Linked DNA regions of Caenorhabditis elegans. The protein of the gene in region 2 interacts with the protein of the main gene of each other region in a pairwise test. Each region holds a gene or a part of one and is shown on either strand. Other genes may lie near its edges.

What was found.
Region 1: the proteins of F55D12.1 (region 2) and C53D5.5 interact in a two-hybrid assay, tested with the Caenorhabditis elegans proteins (one large-scale study listed by BioGRID).

Annotation. Positions count from the first base shown.
Region 1 is NC_003279.8:301,133-314,798, forward strand, and holds C53D5.5 (Gamma-glutamyltranspeptidase 1), read right to left. Parts: upstream 9,659-13,666; 5' UTR 9,656-9,658; coding exon 9,630-9,655; intron 8,630-9,629; coding exon 8,410-8,629; intron 8,303-8,409; coding exon 8,073-8,302; intron 7,660-8,072; coding exon 7,439-7,659; intron 6,683-7,438; coding exon 5,959-6,682; intron 5,477-5,958; coding exon 5,158-5,476; intron 4,957-5,157; coding exon 4,768-4,956; 3' UTR 4,679-4,767; downstream 1-4,678. Other genes in the region: C53D5.1 (FAM69 protein-kinase domain-containing protein), read left to right, coding at 1,463-1,572, 1,629-1,698, 2,071-2,596, 2,656-2,777, 2,961-3,123, 3,796-3,948; imb-3 (Importin N-terminal domain-containing protein), read right to left, coding at 10,269-10,444, 10,502-10,652, 10,704-11,746, 11,794-12,710, 12,756-12,970, 13,022-13,642.
Region 2 is NC_003279.8:7,879,329-7,889,299, reverse strand, and holds F55D12.1 (uncharacterized protein), read right to left. Parts: upstream 4,982-9,971; 5' UTR 4,949-4,981; coding exon 4,819-4,948; intron 4,493-4,818; coding exon 4,382-4,492; intron 4,151-4,381; coding exon 4,073-4,150; intron 3,832-4,072; coding exon 3,725-3,831; 3' UTR 3,536-3,724; downstream 1-3,535.

The DNA.
Region 1 (13,666 bases), 7.6 Mb from region 2:
GTGTTCCGTTTTTTTTTTGAATATTAAAATAGGAATATCAGAATTTTTTATTTTTTATTCTGCAACTTTTCAAATTATGTTCAAATTTATTATAAAACTATCGTAAGTGTGAATTTGCAATTAATTTTCTTATTGCTAGGTATCAGTTTTACTAGGGCTGTCATGTATGTACCAAAACGCCTACCGCGCCTTCTGTCTAGTGCGGTGCGGAACCCGAAAAGTGTCGGAATCATCTTTCGCAGTATGTGGTGCTGAAACCAAGCCTTTGAGTTCTCGCCATAGTGCGGCGAGAGGCCGGCATGAGGCGGGCAGGTAGGAGGCAGGCTTCAGGAACTGTGTCGCGTCTGCCTCCCAATCCCAGAATACTTTTTTTTTCAAAAAGTTGCAATGGAAATCAGATTTTCAAACGCAACCTGTCTTCCTCTTGTACTCAACTTTTACTTGATGATAGTCGATAAAGGTGTGAACGCGGTGAGGTGTAACCGTGTGACAATACATCATTGTATTATTCTTTTTCGCAAAAAAAAAACATTCTTTTGGGTATTATATTCTACCAATGTATCTTTCATTTTCTCGATTGATTTTTTCTCCGGCGAAAAGAAAACAAATTGAAAAAAAACGTCAAAACATAAACATTTGGAAAATATAAAGGTGGATATAAAAACGGTTTCTTTCTTCTGGAACATTCATTTTTAACCATTTTCCTACATATTTTCACGCTAAGCCGGAGCAAAACAGAGACAGTCGAGACTGTCAAAACATGTAAAATATACGTTTTTTGGTATACCTATTTATTAACAGGTGCTCCCTTTTCTCTAAAAGTTTAAATTTGTCGCGAAAAAATGCAAGAAATGTTTTTTTTCTAAAAACTAAAAACTCGATCAAAAATAATAATTGGGTATTTAAATATTCCGGAATCTCCATTTTCTTCCCGTTCCTGCCCTTCCATTTTTTTCTTCCTGCACTTACTCGAGTATTCATCCTCTTCTACTGCTGCCATAAAAGGTCTTCCGCTTCACTGAAGCCTTCTGCACAGCAGCGTATCCTCCCGCTTCATATCTCGTTGCTGAACTCCATATAGCTTGTTATAGCTCAGTTTTAGACGGATTTAGGTTCGAATTTCTGTAGGGTCTCTAGGAGTACTGTAATAAGTGATGTGTCAAAAATTTGGCCTAAACTGTCATTGCTATAGATTACGGTGATAGAAATTTGAATATGTATGAAATAGTGAAAAATCAGTAGACTGAGCCTTACTCAAATTCACATCCGTTCGAGATATTTCTGAGTTCTGAATTTCTGTTGATTGCAATTGCCGTAACTTATAGCAAGGAAAGAACAATTTGAAGCCGAATTTACGGCACAAAATTAGTTTTGGTGCTTCTAGAGCCTATTTTATAAAATATATACTTGACACGTGGCTTTTCAATATCACCATCTCAAGAAATTACCACAATCGTTTCAGGTGCGAACAAGAGTGTGGCGAGGAGGCGTGGCGAATCGCGTGCTGCTCACGAGTCGGGAAGATCGCCATCCTTGTCATGTCAATCATTGTATTATATCTTATCATATCAGGTTGGTTTAAATACATATTATTCAAATTTATCTGAGTTTACACAATGAATTTTCAGCATTAACGCCCTCCGAAAGCACACACAAGACGGACCTCAACGAGCCGCGGCCTGGTATTAATTTAACAAGGTGAGAATGTTGGGAACATATTACTATTGTAGGAAATTGCTCGATAATTCCACACTTATTGAGTTCACAATTAATTTCTACTATATTAACTGTGTTTTTGGTAAAGAAGTATCACTTTTTCCCCTCCCAACTCCGATAATTCGGCATTCCTAGAGTTTTAACACAATGTTTTACGACATACTTATGAAGAGTTGATGCAAATCGCAAAAAAAAAACAGAAAAATAACTATTTTATGAATAGTATCATTATCGTATGGTGTCGTCAAAATGTTTTGTTGTTTTAGTTTTTTTTTACTCGAAATTTTCTGAAAACACCGAATTTCATATTGAATCAAATTTCTTGATAATTTATTAGACATTTCGATTTTACAGAGCCAATCAAGTACTCACCGGATTATGTGATGCCTATGAGCGAGGAGACGTTTCCGGAGACTCTTGTAATCGACTTTGCTATGATCGAAACTGGCTTGTCACTGACTTTTACGAAGGGCACAAGACTGTGGTCATAGTGAAAGATGGCGGACAGATTGCTGTCTATAAAAGCACAAAACCGTTTATGGATCAATTCGACGAGCCGAAAGACCATCTGACGGATGCAGAGTTCTCGGATCGAGTAGTCGATATGGTGAATGATGAGCTGAGACTCGGATGGCCGAAACACTATCGACGGCATTTAATGGAGACTGTGTGGCCGACACTGTTACGGACCAAGGGAGAAGCCATGTCGAAAGCGGATCGACGATCCTTGTGGGCTTTGTTAAAGCAGCCTGAATTCATCCTGTTCCGAGTGTTACCGTTGACACGTGTCACGCCGAAGCTCATTGGGACGTGTGGACATATGTATCAGACTGAGTCACTGGTGGCGTTCAAGATGAAAGGGTATTATACGAATTTGAAGGTGGGGATTTTTTTTTAACTTGATTTTAAAAAAAAAATTTTCTCAATCCAAATTTACAGGCAAAAATCTTGGTGCATGTCATGGGAACCCTGAAGCTCTTATACGAATTTCTCGACGAACCCCTTCAATGGTGTGATGTTCGATTTGATAATCTCGGGTTATCAGCAGATTATCCGAAAAGGTAGGTCTGCCTGTTTTTTTATTTGATTTTTTTTTCCGAAAAAATCTACATTTTCAATTATTCGAAACGTAATTCGAATAAAAGTTATTAATGATTTTTTAAACAAAAAAATTGATGATAATCCAACCGGAAACTCAAATTTTGAAAACCCCTAAAAATCCAAATTTCTCAATTTTTCTGCAGATTCGCTCTAATGGACGGTGACATGGTGTACACGAAATCGAAATTGGATTCTCTCCTAAAAGGACGTCCGTGTGAAAGTGATAATGATTGTAAAATTGGAGACTGTGAGGCGAGATGCACTTCTAATATGGTGTGCTCGTCGAGGAGTAACGGGAATTTGGAGGTAAGCTTGAAAGTTGAAAAAGTTTGGAAAAATTGTGAAAAATCAATAAAATCGGCAAAAAACGAGCTTTTTTCCAGATGGCCGAATTTTTCATAGTTTGCAAAAGTTCGTCCACCTGTGAAAAATTGCTAAAAAAGCAACAGCATTGATGAATATTCATAAAAAACCAATAAATTCGACAAAAACCTTTTTGATTTTTCCAAAAATCGAAAATCACATTCTGATGTTCAAATTGAATTTTCAAAAAAAATATAGAAATTTCCTAAAAGTTTTAATTCTCAAAAAACGAACGACTGACAAAAAATTTTTAAAAAAGTGAATTTTCCGAATTTTTTCTAAAGAAAAACTGAAAATTTGAGAATTTTCAGTCAGAAATGTGATTTTTTTTTTGATTGAAAGGAGTTTATTTTGTAGAATTTAACTTCCACTATCAGAAAAAAATTTACCTATTTACTTTGTAATAGGAAAAAAGTTGTGAAATTGTTAGGAAAATTTTTTTCAACTTTACAATTTCCCGGACAGGCCTGTAGTTCCTTTTTTTCAAAACGTAAAAGAAAAAATTAATTAAAAAGTTCAAACTCCTAGAATTTATACATTTATTTTGCATTCTAAAAAACAAAGTTTTTCTTGATTTTTTTGTGTAAAAATTGAAAAAAAATCCAAATTTTGTAGGTCTTCTGCGATAAACTGGTCAACAAACTGTTCGCAAATCAATGGTCCAAAAATAATAAATATTTGGTCGCATGCCGGGATACAGGACGAAATATCACAACTCGACTCAACGAATTACGGTTAACATGGTCATGGAATCTGCCGGATGTTTAAAGGAATCTAGCTCAATTCTTTCTTTTTTTTTCTTCTACTCCATGTGTCAAAAAATCCCCGTGTCTTATAATTTTCTGGTGCTTTTTTCCATATTTTCCTTTTTTTGTGTTCTGGCTCATTTTTCCATGGCTCACAGAGCCCGAAAGCTTAGGATTTTGAAATTTTATTCGTTTTTTTCTCATAATTCTGTCATCATTTTTTGCTCTGCATCATCATCATCATCGTCAACATCATCGCGTTTTATTATGGGTTCATGTATTATTACACTTTCCTCGAAAAAAAATTTTGACGAACGTGTAATATGTTTCACCTTGTCTCATTTGTACCTCGTTCATTGTTACGGGTTTGAAGTTTTAAAACTCTGAATTTATATGAAGAATTTTAATTTAAAAAAAAACTTTGTTTCCTTTTTTGAATTTTTACAGACAAATTTTTGGCTTGAAAACTGAAAAACCCTGACTAAACTTACTATTTATGTGTTGGGTATCAACGTGTATTGACCCACGACGTGGCTAAGAAGATCGTACAACGTGAACTCTATGAACTAACTTATTTATTCCTTAGTTTAGTAATGTAATAAACTACTCGTCTTCTCCTCCTCGTCTCGCCTTCGAATACACAACATTATGAAAAGAGTTTTTCTTAAGATAAAAAATGTTCTAAAAAATCGATGGCCGAGTTTCCTATTTACGCGGCCACAAGACCAGTAAAAAAGTGTTAACACAAGTGCGAAAACTAGAACATTTATTTTCAAATTTCACCCGATTTCTACAAAAAATCAACAAAAAAGTCACAAAATTTAAAATATGAACATAATAATCAATATCCCGCTGGCGCTGACTCCTCCCCTTTTCGGAAATCACTGTTCGCATAGATTTGGCCGTCGGAAAGTCGTTCGGCGGCGGTGACAACTGTCAAATTGTTCACTGCCTTCATTACGTGACCACGATCGATCAGGGATTTCACGTAGGCTTTCGGGAAGTTTGGCTCGTACCACGTGTAATTTGGCTAAAAAATAAGGAAATTGGGAAAGGTTTTGATTTTATTGATTGAAAAATATTTCATGTGAAAGTCGAAAATTGATTGAAAATTAAATTCAGAAGTTTTTTTTCTGAAAATTATTGATTTTTATTTTTAAAAAATCAACTTTTTGACAATTATCGATTTTTCCAACAAAAAAAAAATCAAATTTCGCGTGTAATTCTCTACCTGTAACTGATTGTGCATCCTTGGAGCATCAACAGCTTGTTTAACATCTGCTTTCAGCCATAACGCATGCAGTGCAACTCCAGCAACACCCGAAATAATGGTGGATCCACCGGCTCCGCCGACCGCCATAAGCTCCGCCCCTTTTGTGTTAAAGATCACTAATGGACTTTGACTACTCATGGGGCGTTTTCCAGGGCGAATGAAATTGGCGGGAGACGGTGGGAAACCGAAGAAATTCGGATGACCGGGAGTGGAAAAGTCGTCCATTTCGTTATTCCAGAGAATTCCCGTCGATTCGGAGGATACTAGGGCACCCAGGCTGGAAGAATTTGAGATGGTGGAAGAGTTTTTTTGGCGGTGGCCTAGAAAATGTCTTCATATCCGAAAAAGTCAAAGTGATGGCCTAGAAATTTAAGTTTGTGGCCTATAAACTTGAACTGATGGCCTAAAAATTGAACGTCGTCCTAAAAATGTTTTTAACTGATGGCCTAGAATTGAAAGGTGATGGCCTCCAAATTTCAGGTGGGCGTATATAAACTTTGGTTGATGGTCTAGAAATTATACACGTGGCCCAGATTATGAAATCACTTCGGTATAAAATCCAGGTGGTAAACAATTTACTATTAAGACTGCCTAAAATCATCCCCTGGCCTAATTAGTTTAAAATTTTTGGTGACGACCTCGAACTTGTTCATTTTTATCAACTGCAGTTGCTTGTCGACTGAGGACTAACTTCTCACTTGCTGGCCGAGTTTTCGAAGTTCGGCCACCAAAAATTTCCTTTAAAAAAGCCAAACTCACTATAAGTTAATGGTAGACGTAACCGAAACTGCATTGCCGTCTGCATCGATAATCGATACATGAGTTGTTCCATGATCCTGCGGTGGTGCTTCAAACGATCCTCCATAGTAATCATCAGGATGCGTCGTGTCTGTGATCTTCGACCTAACCCAATCCGCCCACTCTTTTGACGTAATATTTTTGGCGATTTCCGTGGCGTTTGCCACGAATTGCGGGTCGCCAAGCCAGCTTCTAGCCGCATAACTAAATTTGCTAGATTCCAGAAAATGATGGTATAACGTTGCGATTTCGTTGAACGACTTCATGTTATATTCGAAGCCATCCATCACGTTAAGTATTGCCTGAGCCACCGCTGAGCCCGAGGGAGGCGGCGGGCCGCAGACTCCGCGCCCGTTTTTCAGCTTTGTGTAGATCACATTTTTTGAGTCGTGGACTATTGATTTGTAATTTTTAAAGTCCTGAAGCCGGATGATCCCACCGTTGGCTTCGAACTCTTTGGCGAGTTGCTCGGCGAGCCGACCTGTATAAAAGTCGGCGATGGGATCTGTGGAGTTTGCGAGTAGCCGGAATGTTTCTAGAAGGTTTTGGCGGGTTTTTATCTGCTCTCCTGGTTGGAAGACACGCTGAGTTTCGGGGTTGATGAAGTTTTTCATGGTGGGCTCCGCGCGGATTTGGTGCTCGTTTTGGTTGAGAGCTTTTGCAAGGGCATGGGACGTTGGGTAGCCTGGAATTTTTTAGGATGGCCTAGAAACATGAACCGATAACATAGTTACTTATTTTGTGACCTCGAAATTTTCATGATGGCTTAGAAATTTTTATGATGGCCTAGAATTTTTATGGTGACCTAGAAATTTTTTGATGGTCTAGAAATTTTTAGTAATGTAATAAACTACTCGTCTTCTCCTCCTGAAAAAATTTGGGCCCGTCTCCCTTCGTGGTGAGACCCATCGTGGCGAGACCCATCGTGGCGAGACCCATCGTGACGAGACCCATCGTGACGAGGCCTATCGTGGTGAGACCCATCGTGGCGAGACCCTCCGTTGAGAGACCCATCGTGATGAGACCCATCGTGGTGAGACACGCCGTGGTGAGACTTATTGTGATACCCATCTTAACGTACACAGTAATTGGAGAAACTTTTAAACTGATTTTTACAAAAAGTTCAACATTTAACTTACCAAGAGCTCAATATTCCGTTGCCTCGCTTTTTGTTGCCCTCAGGGATTATTGTTCTGTTGCCTCCATTTCCGTTACCCCTGTTGTGTTGCCTTCGAGCAGCGTTGAATCCGTTGCCCCCCCCCTTTTTCGTTGTCCCCGGGGAATATTAAATCCGTTGCCCCCGTTATCCGTTACCCCTAGGGATTGTTGGCCGGTCTAAAAACGGCCACCAGAAAAGTTTTTGAGCATCAAAAATGTTCTACGCCGTTAGGAGTTTTTTAGGCCAACAGAAATATTCTAGGCTCGCAGAAAAAGTGCCCACCTTCAGCCAACAAATCAATAGTTGGTTTCAACAACTGTCTCCACTCGACTTTTCCACTTCCGAATCTCTCGAATTCAGTCCGGAGGCCGTGAAGCTCTCCGGGCACCGCAATCGCCTTCCATCCGATTCTCGACTGATTCCATTTGTCACGGTACATTTCCTCTGTTGCGGCGAGCGGAGCAATCTCCCGAGCATCGATTACCGTACACTCTTTTGTCGTTCTGGAAGAATTTTAGAGGTTTCTAAGTCATTGAAAATATTTTTAGGCCACGGCAGAAGTTTAAAGGCCACACGCGCTTCTGGCTTTCCTCATATTTTGAAATGGAAGAGTTTGCCGAGTTAGCCCGTTTGGACTAGGCCACGACCGGGGTAAATTTACGGAGCGTCGTGTAGACGATTGTCAATGGAGCGCGAGAAAAACGCTTTGACGAAGGCCAGAAACCAGTGAGGCCACAATGTGATGTTTGCAAAAATGTTTTTAATGGCCTAGGAAAATCATTCTTTCTTCCAAAATTTTTCTTCTTTGTTTTCCTTTTCGATTATTGATTTTTAGTTGAAAAATCAATATTAATAATTATCTTTTTTTTTAATTATTGATGTTCCGCTCCAATTCGTGGCGAGACCAACAACTCACGCATTATAAATAGTCATAAAATGTCCGCCGCCAATTCCGGCCGAATGTGTATCCATTACACCGATACAGAAAAGTGCGGCGATTGCCGAATCCACCGCATTTCCGCCTTTCAGCAAAATATTCCGACCGATTTCTGAGCAAATTTCGTTGTCGGCGGCGACGGCGGCTTTCGAATATTTTCCGAGTGGAGAAAGTGATGGTCCAGGCCAACGGGGTAGGCGGGCATTGTTCTGGAAACCTTGCCGAGTTTTATTTTTATCGGCCACGTAGCAAATCGGCCAGCCATGAACCGACTGCGGACTAGTTTTCACCCTCGTGGCCTAGCTTTCTAACAAACCTGCATTAGTAAATGAAAATACAATGAAGCGAATGCGACCGTTGAGATTAACAACGTGAATACGAGAACCGTTAAGCCGACCGCCGCGACTAAAGTACGGATTTTCATGGGTTGCTCGGCCTCGATAAGCGGCTCAACTTCATCAAATGGTCCATATTCTGGCGGTAAATTATCATCGTCCGGAAACGTGTTATAGTATTGAACAGGAGGTGGGTTACTGCTGAAAAGTCGAGTTTTGCGCGTCAAATTTGATGTATTGAGTGGCATGATCACTATTATTACAAGACCGCGAAATTTTGAGAATGCGTATTGCACAACATTTTTGACGCGCAGAATATCTCGTAGCGAAAACTACAGTAACTCTTTAAATCACTACGGTAAAGCTTGTGTCGATTTACGGGGTTTCGGTTTTTTCATTTTTTTTGTGTTTTTTAAAAAACAATTTATCGACTAATGAATGATTTCCGTAAATCGACACAAACACTACAGTAGTCATTTAAAGAATTATTGTAGTTTTTGCTACGAGATATTTTGCGCGTCGAATATGTTGCGCAATACGCATTCTCAGAATTTTGTGTTGCCGTAATAATTCTGATTTAAAAATGGAATTTTCAAAAATCAGAGGTTTCCCAAAAATTTGAATATTCCACAAAAAAGATGAATCTGAAGAGTATTTTCAATTTTTTGAGAAAATAATCGATTTTCTGGATTAAAAAATTTGAATTTATAGATTTCTAGATTCTAAAATTTGAATTTGTGCAATTTCAAACAAAAATGTATCGATTTTTATCGACTTTTCATAAAATTTAATTTAATTTTCGAAATTCCGAAAATATTGCCCGTTTTTCATATACCAAAAAAGTTGTATCAATTTTTTCAAAAAATTAAATTTTCATCGATAGTTGTTTTCAAAGCATCATGATTTTTTTGAAAGAATTTGCAAATGTGAGAACTACAGTACTCCCTTAAAGGCGCACGCTTGTTTTTATTTTTAAAAAATTGGTCGTTTCGAGACCTGGTACCGTATTTTCGCATTTGGGTAATATTTCCAGCATTATAAATTTAAAAACAATGCACTTTTTAAATCTTGAATCCATATATATATTTTTTTCAGAAACTCATGCCGCCTCGTTTGGGTCTCGATTCGAATTTTTTTCACAAACGTATAATATTTTCTCGAAAAACCCGCGAATTTTTAACATTATCGATTTTTCTCTCACCTCGTCGATTGCCCTTCAGGAGTCATTATTCAGAATTGAGTATGAATTAAAAAATCATAGAAAAAGTCAAAGCGCTGTCAATTGGAAATTTAGGACGAGAATGTCAAAATTGCAACTTTTCACGATAACGGAATTCTATCGCAAAACTAGATAAGAGCTACAGTTTGCTGCGTGTAAGCGCGCTCCAATGACAAACGAGAAGAGAAGAGAAGAGGGGGTAACCGCCAATAGCTCTCTTTATCGAGGATAGTCTTCAAGTGACAGAAGAGATATTCTGTGGTGGGAGAGAGTTGGGTGGAAGGGGGAACAATGAGGACTACGGAAGAATGACTTTTAGATTTGGAGTATAGGAGAAAGTGGAGGTTTTGGCTGAAATTATTTTCAAAAACTTTAACTGTAACAACTAACGAGTAGATTTGAAAATGAGGATAATATTCAACACAACAGAAAAAAAGTCGATAGGTAACTAATAAAAATTAGAGAAAATGTGGCATCGGGGAGAAGTGGTGGAACAAAAGAAGAAACTGATGATGATGATAGGAGGATAGCCGCGAAACAAGCGATTAACAGTGAACAAGATTCATTTCGGTGAAGATGGAGAAGATAACAGCAAAAAAAAAAACACAACAAAAGTCCTTATTATTGCCCATTGAGAGTTTGTTGAAGGACACTGGTAAGGTGCTCGTCGATTCCATCTTGCTGCGCGAATTGTGGGAACGATGCGTAGATTTGCTTCAGGATTGTGACAATTCTTTGCTTGGTTTGGTTGCCGCTATCGTCGTCGTTGAAAGCATCGTTGGCGATTGAGAGCAAGCCTGAAAAATACAAATAAAAATAAAATAAGTTACGGATTTTTTTAGATTAGAACTTACAAACAAGGAAGATTCTCGGAAGATTCTGATTTTCTGGTCCAAAAAGTGCGGCGTCTTGTTTATCAAACAATTCGGCGAGACACGTGTAAATGTAGGGGCTTTCCTCGGTGTCTGAATATGTTGGCAACCAGCTCAGGAACATCTCGACGACCTGGAAATAATATGGAACTTTTTTCTTGAAAAACTGAATTCTAAAACCAACCTTTCCGTAGGCTTCAGCAGGAAGTGGCACATTGCCGATGATTTTGGCAAATGCAGAAATCGCGTTTTCCGTGGCAACAGTGCTCTCCTCGGTGGCTCGGGCGTCCTCTCGTTGAATCATGGCGGCCAGTGGCTCCAAACAGCTCAAAATCTCGTTTCGGTAGTCGCTGATCTGGTGGTAGTTGATGGCCATAACTCCGAAACCGTAGCTCGCTGCTTGTCTCACTTCAGGATACTCATCTCCCAACAACTTGTACATTATTGGAATAAGCTTCGGGAAGCGAGTTGGCATATGTCCGACACCGAACTCGATGGCGTCATCGAGAAGGCACATTCCCCATTGTCTCTCGAAGTATTGTTTGGATCCCTCGATGAGTTGAATGGCACAGTTGAACACGTTGATCATTCCCTCGAAGATAGTTCCCTTGAACTCCTTCATAAGAGAGTGAGTCAAATCAGAGATGGCTCCAAGGCATGAGGCCTCCAATTCCATGAAATAATCGAGCTCCTCCTTAGCTTCAGCATCATCGTCATCTTCATCTTCAACTGGACGATCGCTCATTCTCTTTCCGTAGTTTTCAAGTTGCTTGAGAAGCACCGAAATGATGAGTTGAACCTCTTCCTCGGCGATTCCCTCGGTTTTCATAACCTCAATGCACGATCCGATGGTCGTCATGAACGAGGCGAGAATCTCGACATCGTCCTCCTCCTCCATAGAGGTCGTCAATGCCTTCAAGAACTCGCACCACAAACGACGCTTGTCAGCCAATCCTTGCTTCTCAACACAGGTCAACAAGCATGGCATGATTTCAGCGGAAGCCGTACGAACTCCGTCGTGAAGTCCGAAATCGAGATTCTTGATGGCGAGCTCGTAGACGTCGACGACGTATGGCATGAAAGCCTCCTTCATCTCCTTGGCGAACGCGACAAGCATATCGCAAGCAGTTGCCTTCTCCTCAAGACCGCTGGTGCGGATTCCGACAGTCTTTTCTCCTCCGATTCCGTGGTATTCAACTCCTTCCTCGTTTTCGTGAACATCTTCGTCTGAAATTTATATATTTTTTTAACACGTAAAACTAAAAAACACTCACTGTTGAAGATATTGAAGTCTGGGCGGTAACGAGCGGCACGAAGAACTGGATCCATGACAACTGGGAGGAATGGTGCGAAATCGGCTCCAAGAATAGAGCAGAAACGAGTCCATGAGCTGATCATGTAGCTGTATTGTGGATCATCGATAGCCAAATCCTTCATTCCGTCTCCGAGAAGGTTCAGGATCTCGATTGCAGTAGCGTGGAATTGTTCCTTTCCGACAGCATATCCGATGAGAGAGATGCATTCGATGGTCTTTCCTCTCAACTCCTTGAGCTCTCCGACGTTTTGAAGAATGTGAACGAGGTTCGGGATGAGGCGAGCATGATGTTCCTTGAAGAGCTCCTCGGCGGCTTCAGCGACGGAGGCGATGGCGGTGACGATGTTCTCAACGACAACCTGGTATCTCTTGTCTCCGAGACGATTGAACACAGCGGAAAGCACATTTTCGAGTTTCTGAAGAATGAATGGAAGATATTGTCCAATGATGCTCTTTGGGCACTCCTCGGCAAAGTTGACAAGAGCCGAAGCGGCATGAGCACAGACACGTGGAACATCGGTTCTGTCAAGAGACTCGAGAAGAGCTGGTATGACGGCGGCGTGGCACTTCTTCTGAAGAGTTGGAGCGAAGTCAGAAGACATTTGTCCGATGGCGTTGCAAGCCGCGTATTGAACTCTTGGATGAGCATCATTGACGTAATTGGTGATATGAGCCATAATTTGCTCTATGTGTGGTTCCATAGATCTTTGGCACCCTTCACCGACGGCGGAGAACGCGCGAAGAGCCGCGTGCTTCATCTTCCAGTCTTCGCTGGTCAAAAGCTTCTCGACAAGTGGAAGGAACACTGGGAGCATCACTTTTCCGTTGATGCAGCAAGCAACACGGTCGATGGCGCTTTCGGCGATGATTGGGATACTGAAAAATAATTTAATTGAAGAAAAACTAAAAATTTATCCTTACTCTTCATAGTCTTCTTCCTCTTCGATCTCGTTGAGCCACTCATTGAGCACATCGTCATCCATTTCGGTCATGCATGAAAGAAGAGTCTCGAGAATTGGTCCAAGAGCTCCTGGTGCGTATTTCTTGAGTCCTTTTGGTGCGGATTCCATGTACGAGCAAATAACTTCGATGGCGTTCTGACGGACCATCTCGTTCTTTTCCTTGTTTCCAGCAATCTGAAATTTGAAAAAATGAAATTTTTAAATTGGGCCATTTAAATTACTTACAGCAAGAGTGACTTGAAGAACCTGAGACATATGAGTGTTAAGGCATTTTGGCAGAGAAGAGGCGAGCTCGGCGAACTCTCCGAGTGGTCCATCTGAATCATCCTCGTCGCTGGTTTCATTGCAAACTTGAAGAACATTTGGAACAAGAGAGGTCATAAGCCTGACAACATCCTTCTCCTCATCATTATCAACAGCGAAAGCGATAACAGCACGGACGGCGGTGGCCTTGATTTGCAAATCCGGTGTAGCCATGCACTTTTCCAAGACAACTTTGAGGGTTGGAAGGAAGTGGGCCAGCCTGTTTCCAAAAATTATTGGGCATCCGCGAAGAATAAGCAGGGCTATGTAGTTTCCGGTAAGATCCTCGCTCTTCAAACAATGATCCATCAGCTCGAGGACTCCTCCCCATGTCATATCTCCAGAATCGTCGATGAGGTTTGAAGCGATTTCAGAGATCAAATCAGCAATCTTCTTCTTAATCGAGAGTTCGGTCTCGTGAACTATCATCTCGAGAACTTTGGCGAGAATGCGCTGTTTGTTCTCCTCGTTCAGCGTTTCCCAAATCGCATCCCAGTCTCTGGCGAGAACTCGTCGCAGAAACACCAAAACTGTGGATCTGGCCTGAAAATCGAAAATTCATGGAAT
Region 2 (9,971 bases):
TATCAAAGAAGACATGTTACAGTTTACAGTGCTAATTGATTACCACCATACTGACAACACTTATCACTTGCTTTTTGTCACCTTCTCTCCGCTTTTTGCTTCATTTTTGACACTAATTCAAATTCGAGATTGATGCCTATTGGAAGTCAACTACAAAAGGGCAATGCAATTACTATTAAAGAGAAAGATTGACACTAAAACATAGAAAATGTCATTACGGATTCTGTCAAACTTAAACGAAATGACAATGTGTTCCAAAAGCCGCTATGAAATAAAAGAAAAAATATATATAATCATCATTTTCCGCCAAAATACCAAATATAGTTTTAGATTCAAGAAAAATTGAAACTAGTAAATTTTCCAGTGCTTCAAAGCGTCCGTTTCAGACACATACTGTATCAAAAAAAGTTTGATATTTAATATAACCATTTCATGCAAAATTTTTGGGTTAAACTAGATAGATCATTAAATACAACAACTTTCATTCCTATAAAAACTTTTCGAAAACCGTCATATCGAACAGGTCACACCAATTTTTTTCTTGAAATAACTCGCGTACCTGAAAATTAATTTTTTCATTTTTTGCATGCGAACCTGAAAAAATTGTATTGCCAATGACAGTTTCAATGTCTGCCAAATTTGACTCATTGTGGTCTGTTGTGAGATTTGTTTTGAAATAAAACAAAATTGTATTCTTCCATCTCGTTATATTGTCATTTCAAAATTAATTACTTCAAATATATGAGTATGTAGAGCAAGTTGTCAAAGTATGTATGTGCCGACTGACGAAAATTAGAATTACTGGAAAAAATTACATTGCAAAAAAAATTCAAAATAAACACATTTATTTTGATTTGAAATGTTCACTTTGGACAATCAACGCAATTGATAAATTGTCGCGACATCATAAAAATGTTTTGCAGCTTTGCAAGAGCTATATAAAACTTTACCAAAAACTGATTTAAATTTGCAGAAATATAAGCAAATGTGAGCAAGGTGTAGCTCACGAAATTGCAATAGCCATCTAAAAAATTACAGGAGTTTTCAAACTAAAATGCACATATATATATATATATATATATATATATATATATATATATATAACGGTTGGTATGAAGTTGCAAGATGGCGCTAGGAAGTTTTGTCAAGAAAGTCACTATCGATTAAATTGACTTCGACGTTTCATTCAAAAAAGAGCTGGAGTACTTAAAATTGATTCCAGAGCTTCTTCTTATTATATTGTGTACCTGCTTCTCTGTTTTTAAAAAATATGTATGAAGAATGGTTGAAGAATGTAAATGCATTTTTTAAATGTAATACATTCAGTGTTTTTCGAGGTAGTTGTAAATTTCGATTTCGGCCAGGACCCTTATTCTCACACTCAAAGCGTAATTCTCTATACAAAACACGCACTCTGAGTTATCTTTGTACATTTCTGAATTCAGTACTATGAGCCTCTCCAAGCTTTTTCAAAATGTGACCTATTATTATAACATGGCAACCGACACTCATGTTTTATGGTTTTCCCATAAAACGTTTGATTGCTATTCTATTTTTTGTTTTTTATGCCTTTTTAAATCATGAAATTATACTAATTTTTTCATCGAGGTTCAATAAAATTTTCAAATAAAAGTTCGAATGTTATAAAAAACAATAGTAAATAAGATAATTCATCTTGGTTCAAAATATTTCAAGTTCCATATTTCAAGTTTCATATTTCTGGGATTCTAAAAAATACATTTCCGAACTTTCAGGAAATTATTTTTGTTCAAATGCAGTTCATGATTTTGTTTTAAGTTACAAAAAAACAAACCATTTTCGGGGGAAAATAAGCAAACAATGCAATAGAGCTACTTGGAGGGGACCAATTGAGAATCAATAATCAAACAATTAGGTACCTTGCAAATAGCTCTCCAACATTGAATTCAGTGAATAATTATCAGAAAGTTTGTTTAAAATGTAAGTCAATCTTGTAGCACGAACCAAAATGAACGAAGAGCTATAAAGAGGGCGGAGTCGGGGAGGATTGAACAAAAAATAGGGCGGAGCCGAATTGAAGTGGCAAAGCGAAGAAGTGTCAAGTGGAGGAAGAAGGAAAGATAGGATAAGTACCTGTTGATTTAATATCAATTGATTTCATTGATATTAAATCACTTGGTAATGAAGGTACAAGAGCATTAAGACAGAATATTCAGAAACAAATCTAATAAAATTTGTTTATTAAGGTTAAATCTAAAAATTCGGATCTAGAATCTAGAAAGTCGGGCATAGAAAGACCCATGTTTTCTTCAATTACCTTACTAGGAAACGTTATAACTTAACAATTCAATAGAAAAAATTAACGTGTAATGCAATCCGTGACATATTGAGCTTCAGAATCTGTAATTTATTTTGACGAAAGACTTTTGCGAGTTTGGAATTTTCGTCTAAAAATTTAGTACTGAACCCAGTGTAATTCATATTATTACTATGAATCTCGCCAGCAAAAATTGTAATTTCAACTGAAAAAAATTTAGTACAGGCGCACAAGGGGTCTTCCACTAAAACACATTAGAGATTCTGGAAGGCCAAAATGTCAGCTATCACATAACAGGTTCAATTTTTCATATCCCACGATATAGTTACAAAATTGCTTAGTTCTAGGCAGTACATAAATGCGATTGACTTAAATTTACATGTGGTATTCGAAATATAAATTCCGATTATTTTGAGGAACCCATACTTTTTTTCAACAAAAAACAGTTTAGAATAAAGTTTTGCAGACGTGGAAAAATCTACCCTCTCTCTCAGACGGCAATTTTAAAAATAGTTTATAGATTCTCAAACTCAAGAAGTCAGATTTCGAATAATACGTTTAGTTTCATTTAAAAAAAAAGCGCGAGACACACATATATGTCTCACGCTTACTAGTTAATAAAAAACGTACGAAATGTTTTCAGCGCATTTGTAAAAATAAAATTGAAATTATTTTGCAAATTGCATGTCAAAATGTTGGTAATTAGCAAATATCATCTAAAACATTAGTGGTCAGATATATGTTACAAACGGCAAACATCTGTGCCCATGCATGGGTATCGTACTAGCTAAGAACGAAAATTGGTCCTTATCAAAAGTTCGAAGCATCAATTATTTCTTGTGTTCCATTAGTCTATTCTACAGCATCATCTTGTTCGAATCCAATCCAATTTTCTTCTTCTCCAACTTTTTATTCTCCAAACCCATCTCATTCCCTTATTCAATAAGTACTTCTCTTCCCTCTTCTCTCTTCATCACATCGGTACCTGCTCCTTGTTATGCTCTGAAGATGAGCCGACCTAATCTATTGCACGGTGGGAATTCATCTGCTTCTCTTCATCTTACACACTCTTTCTCTGTTCAATTTTGGCCGACGGCTATGTCCCAAATCTTCTTTCGATTTAAATTCCCCCTTCTGTGCTCTGACCACTTTGAAACCAAGTTTTCGACAAAGTTTTGAAGAAAATAGTTTTACAACAGGGTTAACAAAGTTTGGTGTTTAGCCTTCAGAACAATTGTAAAATTTAAAGTTTTTATTGATCGGAGAAAAAGTGAAATAATGAGATGAAATGGACTGGCAGCATAGTAATGTCAAAATTAGACCGAAGTTGAAAACTTTCTAAATAATCAGTTTTTTAATCATAATAGTCTAATTTCAACTAGTTGAACCCGATTTAAATTCGGTTGGAATGTGATGTTGATATATAAATTATATAATTCCAACTTCTTGAAGCCAAACTGCAGCAAATACAATAATTACAATTAGAATTGGAATGCAGACAGCAATGCAAACAATCCATCCAATTGGAAGTGGCACTGAAATTTCAAAAAAAAAAGATCGAAGTGTTTATATGTAAATGCTCAGGTGTGCAATAGGAAAGTCAAGAATTCAGAAAGTTTTCTCATTCCTAAAACTGAATGTTTTCAAAAACAATCTCAAAAGTTGTTTCAGCAAGATATTCATAATACAAAAAGTATAAACTTTATAGAAATTACTTTTACTCCAAACATTTTGAGGTTTGACAAAAAAACGATTTTTCCGAAAATAAAAACTTACTTTTCCTTTTGGTATTCTCAGGAAGGAACGTGGTGATGGTTGTAGATGGTCGGGCTCTCAGTTCGCATGCAAGTTGGCCTACAAACACATATTTTGAGTTATTAAGAATTTTCTTATTTCAAAATTAAATGGTACTTATTCTCAGAGGACCTAGAGTTTTTAGGGGGCTTCAGGCGGCTTTGTGGCGAATAAAAAGTACAATGTGAAACTGGATTAAAATTTCCTCCGGTACTGGACTTGGAAATTATTACTTCTAATGTTTTTCACAACGATTTTTTAAATATTGCAATATTTATTCAAATAACCGACCATGTTCGGATTGTTGATCTCTTCTGTATTCACATGCCAATCGAGCATTTTCTCTTTCTTCGTATGGATGTGATTGAGGCAACGGATTGCGAAGAATTGAGCTGGGGCGACCTGAAATTTATTCCATTAGTTCTAACATTTTTGAGACCAATTTTATGAGATACACTGTTCATATCGAAAATATCGACAAAGCCTTCTTCTTGCGACTGAAACACTAACACAAAGGTTGTCTCTGGCACATCTCGATTTGATTTGATCAAGAAGCTGTCTTTGACCACAGAATTCAAAAATCTATTGAAAACATTGTAATATACAACTAAAACAAAAGTTCCTTCACTTGAGCGTTTTACATACTTTTCGCAAAACCAAAAAGTATACTTTTCTGCCAACACTTCCTAAGGTTTTCTCAAAAGTTTTTTTTTAAAGAAAACACTTACTTTGTTCTTGATGCAAAGGTTCTCTTCTATATTCACATGAAACAAATTCTCTTCTTTCTGATATTACATTCTGTGGTGGATGTGGAGATTTTCGTTCATATTTTTCAAAAGTTTCTCGTGGATCCAGCATTCTTATCCTTCTGAATAGTTCCAAAACTTTCGACTTGAAAAATTAAAAATTAAATAAAACAAATACCCGACAAAAACAGGTGGTTTTTGAGCATTTTTGAACGGATAGGGCTCATTTGTTAAATATTCAACCATATGGGAAAAGACAAGAGGAAGAGTTAAAAGATAGTACAGAGAAGATTAACATACGCAGAGAAAAGAGGGAATAGCACGTGAAATGGTTACTATGGTAACGGGGAATTCTGGAAGAAGAATGGAAAAATGAAGAAAAAGAAAAATAAGTAAACATGGGACAAGAAGAACAAAAAGAAGAGATCGATGAAGAGGAAGACATTTTGGAATTGGAAGGAGAACGTGCGAGGTCAGGCTGGAGGAGATGACTGGCGGCAATTCAAAACAGGTTGCGAATCGGAAAATATTTGAAATTCGGAGAGAACACAGACATATTGTCTCTCATGTGTCCCTCTAGTGGTGCCATTTCAATAAGCAAAGTGACCTCTCTCCAGTGAACAAGTGAAAGGTGTTTGGATGGATGTCATGTGGAAGTATTAATATGTATACAATACTTTTTAGATTGAGAGTGATTTGTAGAAAACTGAATACAAGAGCATTATGTTCAGTTGTTTACAAAAAAATGCTATGAATGCTACAAATGCTATAAATACTTTCCAGTTTTGGTTTCCAGTTTAGGGTGCAGATTGGGTGCAGTTGGGTGCAGATTGAGATTTTGTGCAATTTTTCTGTTGACGGTACATACTGCTTTTTTGAGCCAACTCCTTTTTGCACTTGTAACACGTTGGCGAAGCTCAATTGTTGCTAGTTCGTCAACTTTGTGCGATGAAGTTTTCTTGCTCTCAGGTTCTCCATAATTCCAAGATTACCAAAATAAAATTTACAGCGAGAGGAAAATTCGAAGCAAATTGATGACCCAGCTCGAGATTCGCAAAGAAGTAAATTGAGTTATTTTTAGTGCCAACCACGTGGTTCTTCAAAATCGACACTTCTGATATTTAAGATGCCACAATGAACGATTTGAATGAAACTACATGGATAAAGAAAACAGAGCAATAGTTAAAAAGAGCAAAAAAAAATCTCAAATCGATCAGAAGATTTGCTCCATGTAGCATTTATAGCATAGCGCCAATTGTTTAAAACCACAGACATTCAAACTTATCGTTGAGTTTTCCTAATTTTTTTTAATTCCTCAATTCCAAAACGCTTAAAATTATTTAAAGTATGATTACCGTGGAGTTTTGACAACCCGCTAAAATACCATGCTCTCCAATGGAGGTGTTTAAATCTGAACAAAATTGTACCAATTGTTTAGAACCACAGATTTAAAAACATGGTTTATCACATTAAAAAATTTCAATTTTTCTGAATTCAAAAAATTTTCAACTTTTTTTCAGTACCGGCATCAGATGACTGAAAAGTCCAAGGGGTGACCTAGACAAACTTATGCCCGGAAACGGTGATATCTTTATGCATTGCAAATGACGAATGTTTTAGAAATGTGCAACTGTATAACAACCTGAATTTTATGTGGTTTTTTTCTGCAAAGATGTTTTTTTTTGGTTATTTTACAGCTGCATTTATTGCAGATATTTTTAAACATAACACTGATTGACCAAGTGTGACCCCCTACTTCTAATATCCTTTACTTTCCTCCCTTCAAGTGTTTATCACTTTACTCAATGATGAGTACATAATCTGAAACATCATGAAGTTTTGGGTGTGTGTCATTTAATAATCACTTATTTCTTTTCCTGATCATCTGGATCATATCACATAGTCAACATCTTATTCCGTTACAATCATTTTTACGAACTTTGTGTGATCCATATCAATGTGAATCGTTTATCCCACACACTTTTTATCGTTTTTATTATTTCTCCGCCACCTTTTTCATAGCTTCACTATTTATTTATTGTAGCTAACATGTGTACTCATAAGCTTATTTTTATTTATTCACACATCAACTTGTGTTTAACTTTTTCAAAATTTGAGAAAATAAAATTAATTTTTCAAACTTATGAAGATGGAAACCTAAAGTGCAGTATTGTAGTCTTCAAAAACCAAAAAAAACCAAGTTACTTTTTAGACTGGAAAGCTCCAATCTCGAAAGCTTAAACGTTGATCTAGAGGTTTTGCGTTGATTTTGTTAGCTACCTACTTTCGAAAGTATATTTTGAGCCTTTCATTTTTCAATTTTAAAATGTCAAAGACCTTACAAGGGAAGGCTCTGAACTCGTTATCGAACTTCGTTACGCCACTATATACATTCGATAGAGAATAGTTACAGATGATCACTCCAAAAAATTTGGCTGCTTCAGAGCAGGTTCGACCAAGTTACTGTAAAACCTAACTTTTTCACCAAAATCGAATAGAAAAATTTCAGAATTTTTTTTCAAAAAAAAAATTCGATTCGACAATTTTGGCAATTGCCGATAGATGATATTAATTCGAAATGTAAAGGTTTTATGAATATCGTCAGTTGAATGGCATCGCCGTCACCTTTACAACTTTTGATTGCTTCTCATTGTCACATCGGTATTTTTTGCATTATTTTCGTTCCGTGTGTGAATGATAAATTGAACGTCAAAAGATGCAGAAAATCAGTTGATATGAACATAGAATGATACGCTCAATTGGCACTTTCGTTTGCGGAAGGGTAATGAACGAGTTTTTTGACGCCATGTTATGTCTTTGAATGCCAATCTTTTGTCACTTTCATTTACTACGGTTTCACGAGATATTTACCGACGTGTGTATGTGGATTATTATGTCAGCTGAGAAACTGAGGTGAATGCTGGATTTATTGGTGGGATTTCTTGGAGGAATCAATAGTTCGGCAATTAGAGTTTTAATATTAAAACAAACGCTCGAAACTATCTAATTTACCAAAATATCATCAAAAACAAAGAAACTTATTGAAAAAAATAACTATTCGAAACGCGATTTTCCAACTCTGAATTTCAAATTAAAAAAACAACAACCTTGACACTTTTCTGTTCTCATCGAAAATTTAAAGTTTACAATTTCGGGTTAGCCACAGGTACAGGCTTTACACATTGTTGTAAAATTGATGACATCTAACATTCCACCTAAGTCATCATAGTTCACTATTTCATTTTTGAAGTCATTTATTTCTATGAACATCTGGGTTATGAGTTAATGATAATAAATAAAAGAAGTTTCTGACAATAGAGAATAGTTGTGAGTAGTCTTTGCTTATCAATGCGAAATAGATCAAAATACAAAACACGGAAAACCGCAATCTGATGGGATTAGTTTGGTACGTTGTGTTCAGCTTCTACCTGATGCTTCACATTCAGATTCACAAGGGTTCAACCAAGGTTCTAAGCCAGAAGGAACATCTTTGATTCGGTCAGAACAAAGTAGGGATGCACACATGCAGGTATTCTAGTTTCCTTCGGGTAATCCTCTGTGCAAACTTAAACACTTTTTGCTCATCTAAACTAGTTTTTGATAATGAATCACTCTACAATCGAAAATCAATTATCAGCTTCAGCTTATCACTACCCAATCCGTAGAATTGTGTTTATTTAAACAGTCTTCCTACCATCAACACGTCACCATGGAATTCTCGGAAGCCAGTCAGTTAAAGGACAGCTATCAATATAGCCGATCGATAGCATCCTTTTATCTTTCCCCGTCTCCAGCATTTTCTTTTCTTGATAACAAGGCGAGGCTTTTCCTTTCTCAATTCTATCAATGCCTGGGATACGCGAGGTCTCGTCTATCATCACAGTCACCACAAGCTTCTCCTTCTTTTTCGGAATCTCCCTCGTTTCGTACGCTGGTTTTCGTTTTATTTCAATTCGTTTTTTATTCGAGTTTTAATGATTTCTGATTAAAACTTCTGATTAAACTAACCATTAAAACTGATTCAGTAAAAATAATTCAAAATCAAAAATGATAATGAGGAATTTTAAGCCATTTTCAAAAAAAATTTGTAAAGTCCGAACGCCCCCAGTCTCTCCTGCAATATTTGTTATCTATTCAATTAATTTTTTCACACTTTTTAATGATCTTCTCCCAATTTGCATGCGTCTATACCGTTTTGATTCTTATCCATTTTCTCTTCCTCCACCCCCAAAAAAGCTTCATTGCCCTTGTTGCGTAATCCCAGATGAATATCTTTTCCGTGAATGACTGACAGACACTGAAACACACGGCACACGAGCCCGGTTTTTCCAAGGCCTTTTTTTGGTCGAAGAGGCTTCATCGTTTCACTGTAATTTACAAGCATAACAATGAGGTATTTAGAAGGCGTTTTTCTTCACCCGGTGGTCATGAACAGACAGTTACTCGTCCAGTTTTACGACACTTTGTCCCTTTTGGCTAAATGGCTACGATAATTAGGAAAAGAATGAGGAAGGGATAAATGGCATAATTGCATCACACGTGTCTATCTGTATATCTGTATTTTTCGATGTCCGAACTTATAAAGTACATTTTAACGAGTGAAGTTTCAAAAATTTAAAATAACAACTCTCAAATGATTGGTTGTTTGTCTTTTAAACAAAGCTAGTCGTATGGTATTTTCTATGTTGCCTTTTCAAGTTTAATGAATTACTTTAAACTATTGTTTCCTTAAAATATTTATAATTCTCATCATTAAATCCAAGACTTCTATGATATGGTCACGCGTCTTTGAGGCGCCTGTCTTAAACCCGCCTGACTCTCGCCTACACATTTCGGATTTTTTAATTTAAAGGTGGTGTACCGAAATCTGGGAAATATTTTTGAATTTTTTCACATAGATATTCGGAATCAGGGGAGAATTTGGATTTATTTGAAAATATTTCCCAGATTTCGCACACACACTTCGGAATCAGTTAATAAAAAGTGGAGTACGGCTACTGAAGAAAATGTTGAAACTATTCCTATGAAGCTATAATTATTTTTCTACTTCACGATAATTTATTGTTGTAATAAATCAAATCAAATTAAATTTATTAGATATTAAAGTAGCTTTTCAAAAAAATTTAGAATTTTTT